Bombyx mori: one gene and its partner. The protein of the gene in region 1 binds, or shares a complex with, the protein of each later gene. Links are inferred from orthologs where the notes say so. Each region holds a gene or a part of one and is shown on either strand. Other genes may lie near its edges.

Region 1 (4,213 bases):
AGTCACGATTAGACAATTGTGTTAGATAGATATTTGAATTTCAGATATACAGTTAGCCAGTCGCGAACCGTGCATGATGTCGGCGCCATATTTGTCCGAAGACGTCATGAGGCCTAAAGGACGAATGTCAAAATCTGATGACATTGACACCGTGTTGAAGTTTATTTACGAGAGGCAGAGGGGAAACTCGGCGGGACATAGCTCATAAAATTAACTAAAGAAAAACTAAGTTTCAAGTTACACACAAAATATATGTATCTAAAATTTGAGAGAAATTAATGTGAGATATTATTTTATTTTCCGGAATTCCTTAAAAATAATTAAAAAGTCGTTTGAATGCTGATAATTAATTTCGTGTGACTCGTTTCAGGCCTAAATGACAAACATGACCCTAAACGCATACTGGGAATAATAACCTATAAGGACTTTAAAAGATTAGATTTTTAATTGTGTCGAATCGGTAGGCGATTCTAAGGCTCACTTGGCACGCGATTATCATCCCTAACGCCCCACGACATAGACAACTCAGTGGATTGTGGAAAATAGTGGAAATATTTTTTTATTTTTTTATATCTTAGATGGGTGGACGAGCTCACAGCCCACCTGGTATCAAGTGGTTACTGGAGCCCATAGACATCCACAACGTAAATGCGCCACCCACCTTGAGATATAAGTTCTAAGGTCTCAAGTATAGTTACAACGGCTACCCCACCCTTCAAACCGAAACGCATTACTACTTCACGGCAGAAATAGGCAGGGTGGTGGTGCCTACCCGCGCGGACTCACAAGAGGTCCTACCACCAGTAATTACACAGATTATAATTTTGCGGGTTTCATTTTTATTACACGATGTTATTCCTTCACCGTGGAAATCAATCGTGAACATTTGTTGAGTACGTATTTCATTAGAAAAATTGGTACCCGCCTGCGGGATTCGAACACCGGTGCATTGCTCAACACGAATGCACCGGACGTCATATCCGTTAGGCCACGACGACTTCAAAAAATATGTCATAGATCTATCTTATTTAAAAAGTGTATTAGAGTCTAACTATCATAGATTTATACACTTAATATATTCGAGATAACTATACTGAGACCTTAGAACCTATATCTCAAGGTGGGTGGCGCATTTACCTTGTATGGGCTCCAGTAACCACTTAACGCCAGGTGAGCTGTGAGCTCATTCCCCCATCTAAGCAATAAATAAAAGAAATAATAATAATTGAACACGCCAACTAACAAGCCGCTGAACGTAACTTCTCGGGATCCTCCAAAAATTTCACTGAAAAAGTCTACAATGAAATGACAACCATTTTAATGAGATTATATATTTTCTTCCTATATCATCTCATCTTAATTGATTTCTTTTTCATTCCATTTCGTTTTCATTTCATTTGATTTCATTTCATGCCATGTTTTATATTAATCAACTTCATTTATATGTAAAATTATAATATGAAATAAAATATTATAATTTTACATATAAAAAAGTTTTCATTACAATTAAAATAAGACTTGACCCGAAGGTCTTGATAACCAGGTCATTAAATACTTTAAAAAAAATATATTTGTTTTGTATCATGTTTGACGTTTGTATCATAGAATAAACACTTATTAATTGTGTTCTAAACAGTTAAATAATAAAATAAAAATAATATACTTTCAAAACAGTAAATACACATTACATGGACAATTAAACAACTATAAATAGTTATGTAATCTCGAAACTCCATTTCCAAAACATAACCTCAAAATGAGCTCGATACAAGAGCGTCTTCAGCTCAAAAGAGTTCCTCTGGACACTTGGAATATACGTGAACAGCTATGCCTGGCCTCCGCCGTGGTCAGAAGCGGGGATCAGAACTGGATGTCGGTTTCCCGCGCTCTAAAGACCCTTGGCGAGCCAAACAGGCCTCCGGACTGGTATTCCCAAAAAAGGTTTTGTTTTTCTTTTATATCTACTATATAATTATTGATACAGGTTTGAAATAGCTTGCGATAGTGAAGTGGTGGCTGAGTTGATGAGAAACACATTCGTTTTTACACATTTATTTTTTATTTTCAAACCATTTTTGCATTATTCACCAATGAAAATTCCACCACGCTTTCCACGTTATTTGAACTCGATAAAACTTAAAATTATATTCAGTAGAGCTATTATAGTATTTAGTAGGCTATAATAGGTCAACACACACTCCTCTCTCTCTCATATCGTCATTCACACACTCCATCCATGTCTTCTTTGGTCAAGTTTTCCCCCTCTACCTTGCACTACAATTTCCATAAATCTCCTAGTCTCATGCATCTCCTCTCTACGCATAACATGTCGATACCACGTGAACTGTCCGCTCTTTAAGTCTTTCCACTCGCTAAAAGACACCCTCTATAACTTTGACAACATTAGGATTGGTTAAACACAGCTCTTATATTATATGGCGGGTGGCCCCAATAATTAAATGTTCAAAAGAAATGTTAATACAACATTTTGACAAAACAATAACACCGAGTTAAACAAAATAAAATGAGATCATTGTCAAAAGCCAATTGAATATTCAATATTATAAATAATTTATAAAAATATATTATCAAATAAACTAAAATAAGTAGCATATATAGCAATAAGTTTGTTCTACACACACTTATCACATTTTATTATTATTCTCATTATCCTCTCGCAGGTCTGCTGGAAGAGATTTCTCAAAGAAATAAGTAGTGCCTTTGTACATAATTTTCCTATTACTCTGTACTGTGTCTTGTTTTCTGTGTGTACATAAATAAATAAATAAAATAAATAATAAAATAGCACTAGCTTTAAAATAAAATCATTTAATGTAATTACACTTTGGAAAGAGTTCTGATATAATGGCATATAAAAAGAGTCTAACTAAGTATGTACCTTCTTTATTTAAAATCTATGAAAAAATTTAAATTTTGCAGATTGCTCCTTAAATCCCCAGTAAATTAATCCTATTCATAAAAAAATTAACAAAATTACAAATAACTTATTTGAAAGACACTAAAGCTCTAATTAATTATATTCATTCTATTATTTTAAATAGTTATATTGTTTATGAGCTTATTCAATCCATATCAAACTGCGTAGATGTCATGTCTTCCTCTGAAGCATTGGATAGCTGAATGATAATGAGATTTAGATCTACAAGAACTGTGGGCTCCGTTATCCGTATGTCATTAACACATTTCCATCCATCAGCTGTGCTGCACAATATGGAACGCTATTAGAACATGTGGAAACGCCGAAACGAAAAAAGAGAAACTCTGACGGTGGCGTGGAAACTCCACAGGAGAGTATATTGAAACGTTTAACCCAAGATCGGATAGCCGAGATCCAGAAGAATATTGCTGAAATGAGTCAACAACATGAAGTAATGAAGGTATTTAATTTTCAAGTGAAACTTCTTTCTTTCTTCTTTATGAGGGTAAAATTTTTACAGAACGTCACGCAGGTATGCAACGGAAGGACATCAAACTACTATTAAAATTAAGTACTTGTCAAATGTCAGTAGTAGTAGTTGTTGTATTTTTCCAACTGGAAAGGCAAATGTATCATATCATACAGCCTAATATTTTATTTTTTTGTGAAAAATGTTAATAGGAATTGAAATGAAATGAAAAGAATTTGGAACATAGCATGAAATTAAATTAGTCAATTCAATTGGCAAAATATTAGTCATCTACAATTTAGAAATCTAAGCATAATGTGAATGTCAACACTGAGGTTTGAGATTGACATTTGACAGACTTTTGGCGGGAACATATCTTCCTTTTTCCCTTCTTCTAAGTCTTGGAAATCTAAAGTTTTAGATTTGCATAAATATAAGTAAGACTTATAAATTAGTTCGCCAAAAAAGTTTCACTTCTGACATGTGTACTTTGTACGCACGCACTTTTTTTTTTTTATAAATCTCAAGCTTTTTATAAAACTTTAAGTGCTGTCAGAGTTGTTAAGTATTGGCTAATATCTGACCATTTAGTGACAGTTCGGTGTCAACATCAACATCAACTTTTAAAAGGTTTTATAGCCTAGTAATGAGAGTTTTAAGTCAAAGTCTTATTTTTACACACCAGTGCATCGCTACATACGAATGCACCGGACCTCTTATCCTTTAGGCCACGACGACTTCACTTTGACTCATAAATATAAGCTAGTAATATATCTTTCTTTACCTTTGTACCACAGGATGAATTA
Region 2 (4,228 bases), on another chromosome or scaffold:
TAAAAAAATATTAATTTCGGTAAATACATTGCTAAAGTAAATCGCAAGTAAATTATATTCCTCTAAAACAGTGAACGGAAAACATAATATACATCTGGCCGGGTAGTAGCTAAGATTTTATTATATGTTGATGTGTGTACGCAATGTAGAGGTCTGCCGTGATCAATATAAGTTTTTAAGACTACAATAAACAACATATTATTATATCAATGGCAGATCTGGTCAATTACTTTTAAAATTTTATTTTTTTAGCATTTTCAAAGTGGTCTGCCACAAAGTAAAATGCGCGGTAATGGTATGCCATTCTTATTTTCCGATAATAATAATCATATATTTTCAAAATTTCAAAACGGTAGACGTGGTCAAATGGATTTAAAATCCGTCAAAATCGGTACCTGTCCTACCTGAGCGCTCGGCGCGTCGACCACTTTGAGCTTAGTGAGTCCCCACCTCATGCATGGTAGGTATAGGGGTCTCAATGTACGAAAATTCAGGTCTGGTCAAATACATACAGGTAGAGTCCACGGGCTCTTGGGCTACAACGTTGAAAGACGCTTCACGTCAGCTTCCACTATTGCCTTTGTCTACTTTGTCGTTATTGATTTTAGTTTTCGGGTAATGACGAGAGGGAGAGAGAGATGAATATATTTTTTTTAGATCAAAATTTCGATGGCTGACTCGTTTAAACCAATAACGAGTTGTGTATTCAGTTTTAAATGTTGTGAGCCGTTTGGGCGGCAGTGCCACCGCGATGGATCTTTTATTCCATAATTACTCATATTTTTACGGTATCTACATTATTGAAAAGATACAAATAGTAAAAATAAAACATTAGGGAATAAACAATTGACTGAATTTCAAAATATTATCTATTTATTTAAATTAGTATTTATTGCCAGTCATACAAAAATTGCATTTCAAATGGCCAGTTCTCACGAACAGGAACTTCTTAGGCAAATACATATTATTTCCTACGATTATGAGAAAGGCTACGAAAAAAAATTTTTTTTGTGTGTATTGTTTCAATACAAACTCAATAAAAAGCAAATACAAATTGGTAAAATATCTTTAAAGATTTTTGAGGACCTGTCGTACATGCTGATGCATAATTAAAAAACGCGATTACGTACTACGTAGCTTGTATTTAAGTCTAATTAATTATGTTACCTACAACATTTGCGGTTAAAATAATAAAATAATAATTCTACGTGTTAGTTTTAGCGGGCTTTGTATCTATATATCTACCATATACTATTTAAATAGGTATGTGTACCTACTAATGTATATAAGACTGACAGTGGCTGTAGATCATAGACTTCAGTGCTGTAGATACATCTTCAATCCACCACAGTTAAATCTAAATTTGTCACTGTCTTTTTATAAGTTTGGCTGTATGATTGTTGTTCCCTTTAACAATACTATCAGAGAAATCGAGTAAACATACTGTGAATGTCAAATTTTGATTTTTAATAGTAACAAACAAAATTTTGTTTTTATTAACAACATTTATGAACTTCTTGACTGAAACTGATTCCTTAAAATTCTATATTAACAAAATTCGAGCTGTTTTACAAAATGGCTCAACGGGCACGAAGATCAAACGCTGGAAATCGTATGGCTAAACTCCTTGACGAGGAGGAAGAGGATGATTTTTACAAAACAACATACGGAGGGTTTAATGATGTTGAAGAGGACGTAGAATATCAGTATGTAATATCATAGTATTCATAGAATATACGTTGAATCTATTAAGCTTTTGGTTTCGGAGAACCGAGCCTAAACGACACTCCCTGAAAGGTACTTGCGAGTAGAAATGTGGGCTGATGAGTTACTTAGATTTTTTCCGCTGCTATCTAGCTAGTCTCTGAAAGTACAAGACAAAGGGCTTCGACATATAGCGGAAACTCTCACTTCTGAGAATCATGCTTTTCCAGTAAGGCAATCAATCACTTCTTGTTGTTAATCATAAGGTCGTAAGATATTTTGTCAAGTAGTCTGCAAATTCAGCACATTCCAGCAAAATGTTAGCTGCTGTCTCATTGCCTCCGTCTAACATATTGTATATAAACATTTGTTCAATTTTTTTGATCCATAATATCCTATAAAACTATGATTAAATCATAAAAAAATGTTAAAATAATAATGGCAGAGTTACATTAACAAAGTTAATCCTATAGAGAAAAAATAAGCTACGGAAACAAGCAAATTTACTGGCACCAAATAAATATTTGATATATTTTGGATATTCTTAGTGGTTTGCGATTCCAATCTGGTGGTAGAATCTGCAAAGTATTACTCTTGCCAGAGTTAGTGTTAGTAAATTCTTTAAGGTTGAGCCTGTGAGCTTATCTACTAGTCTGCGAGAAGCTGGAATAGACTCTTAACTTACAAGTGAATTTTTTCTTTCTTCTTTCCTATTACCCTCTGGTGGAGTGTAGTAGGGCTTGAATCAAATTCATCCATTTGCATAGTTCTTAGGCAGATGTGAATAGAATAATAAAAATAGAAGAAAAGTAGAACATGTGAATAGGTAGGGAAAAAGTTGTTAATATATAGTATAAAGTATATATTATAGCCTAATAAAATAGTTAATGAATTTACTTGACCCTTGCATTAAAATGTTCAGTGGTTAACTTTGAAATTTTTAACATTTTAGACAAGAAAAGGAAGTTGATGATGAAGTTGATTCAGATTTTGATATTGATGAGAATGATGAACCAGTGTCTGACCAGGAAGTTGAAGAAAAAGCTAAAAGAAAAGTTGGCACTAAAGCTTATAAGGTATAATTAAAATATTCTTCAATGAGTTTTATAGAGTTATCCTCAGTGGTAGGCACCATCCAGGATATGTCCCCTATATTATTTTGTAATGATTATTGATTAGCATTATCAGGTATGTTTGGTTTATTCTTTCAATAATCGTTTTGTATGTCATAATAATAAAACTGAGTAACCTTTTGCACTACACATCTTATAATTGAAACTAATATTACACTTGTATGAAATAGGCAGAAATTGTAAAACATTGAAATAGAATAGCGTAGATATATTTATAAATATGAACTGCCCAGACATTATTTCAAATAAAAATCTCAATGCAATAATGATATTTCAGGACCCCAATAAGAAGAAATTAAATGAAAAATCAAAAAAGACAGTCATCAAAAAATCCAAAGATGATAAATCTATAGAAGACAAAGTTGAAAAACAAAACAAAAGTGCCGTGGACAAAATTGTTGATACCTCAATAGGTAATTTTAAACTTTTCTTTTAATGATATACTTTATTTGGTGTCATTATAAATAAATAAAACAATAAGTTTTGCTTAAGTAACAGTAAGTTTTGTAGTAAGAGTAGTGTTGTATGAGAAAGGAAATTTGATTCATAGCTAAATCTCTCAAACCTCACCATACAAAATAAATATCTTAAGTCTTTATGAACCTGGCTAAGAAACTGAAATCGAATCAATTGCAAGAAAATAGTAAATGAATAAATAGTAAAAATGTAAATAGTTTGAACTGTAAAGAATTCACAACTAAAATGTATATATAATATAATATGTAAATAAATGTAGTCCTATTTTTTAACTGAAGAACGGAAGTCTATAAGACAAAGTACAGCTATGAAATCTGCCGAGACAATACAAAGGATAAAAATCAGGTCAGAGCTGAAAAAGAAGAAACCGAAGAAAGTAGAAGAGAAGATGCCGACCCAGGAAGAGCTGTTGGAAGAAGCAGTCGAGACAGAGAAAGAGAACTTAAAGAGTTTAGGTGAATATATATTTCTAATTGTATGAATGGGTGATAGAGCTTCAAGACATAGTAATTAACAGTACCTTGAAATACGAGGTCTTAATCTCAATTTTATTTTATAACGGCTGTATCGTTTTTCAAACCGGAATAAGCAGAGGGTTGTGTAGGCATCACAAGATGCCCACATGATGACCAGCAAGAATTACGTGAATTAAAATTTTCGTGCAAAGTTAAAGTACAACTTCAGGAATTCTCTAAACTTGTTCTGTTTTGTGAGCTGTCTCATACTTTGGAACATAAATCAGGATATTTTTAAAATTTTGATAAAATTGCCCATAAAGGGACTTATACTATTAACAAAAACCAAAAAAAAAATTTTTTATTCAACATAAATGAAAGTACATACTTGTTGAACGTCAAAAAGAACTACCACCAATTAACAAAAACTAGCCTCCGTCCTGAGAGGAACTGGCAAGA

The links. Proteins that work in one complex are often made in the same cells at the same time.
Region 2: bromodomain-containing protein 8 (region 1) and vacuolar protein sorting-associated protein 72 homolog share a complex: the UniProt entries of both Homo sapiens proteins name them as parts of the nuA4-related complex. The link is inferred for Bombyx mori from reciprocal best matches to the Homo sapiens genes BRD8 and VPS72.

Annotation. Positions count from the first base shown.
Region 1 is NC_085117.1:1,939,515-1,943,727, reverse strand, and holds the start of bromodomain-containing protein 8, read left to right. Parts: upstream 1-1,404; 5' UTR 1,405-1,756; coding exon 1,757-1,941; intron 1,942-3,217; coding exon 3,218-3,398; intron 3,399-4,204; coding exon 4,205-4,213. Other genes in the region: uncharacterized protein LOC101740762, read left to right, coding at 45-208. UniProt on the Homo sapiens protein: May act as a coactivator during transcriptional activation by hormone-activated nuclear receptors (NR). Isoform 2 stimulates transcriptional activation by AR/DHTR, ESR1/NR3A1, RXRA/NR2B1 and THRB/ERBA2.
Region 2 is NC_085112.1:12,270,632-12,274,859, forward strand, and holds the start of vacuolar protein sorting-associated protein 72 homolog, read left to right. Parts: upstream 1-1,419; 5' UTR 1,420-1,575; coding exon 1,576-1,706; intron 1,707-2,656; coding exon 2,657-2,780; intron 2,781-3,114; coding exon 3,115-3,250; intron 3,251-3,592; coding exon 3,593-3,769; intron 3,770-4,228. UniProt on the Homo sapiens protein: Deposition-and-exchange histone chaperone specific for H2AZ1, specifically chaperones H2AZ1 and deposits it into nucleosomes.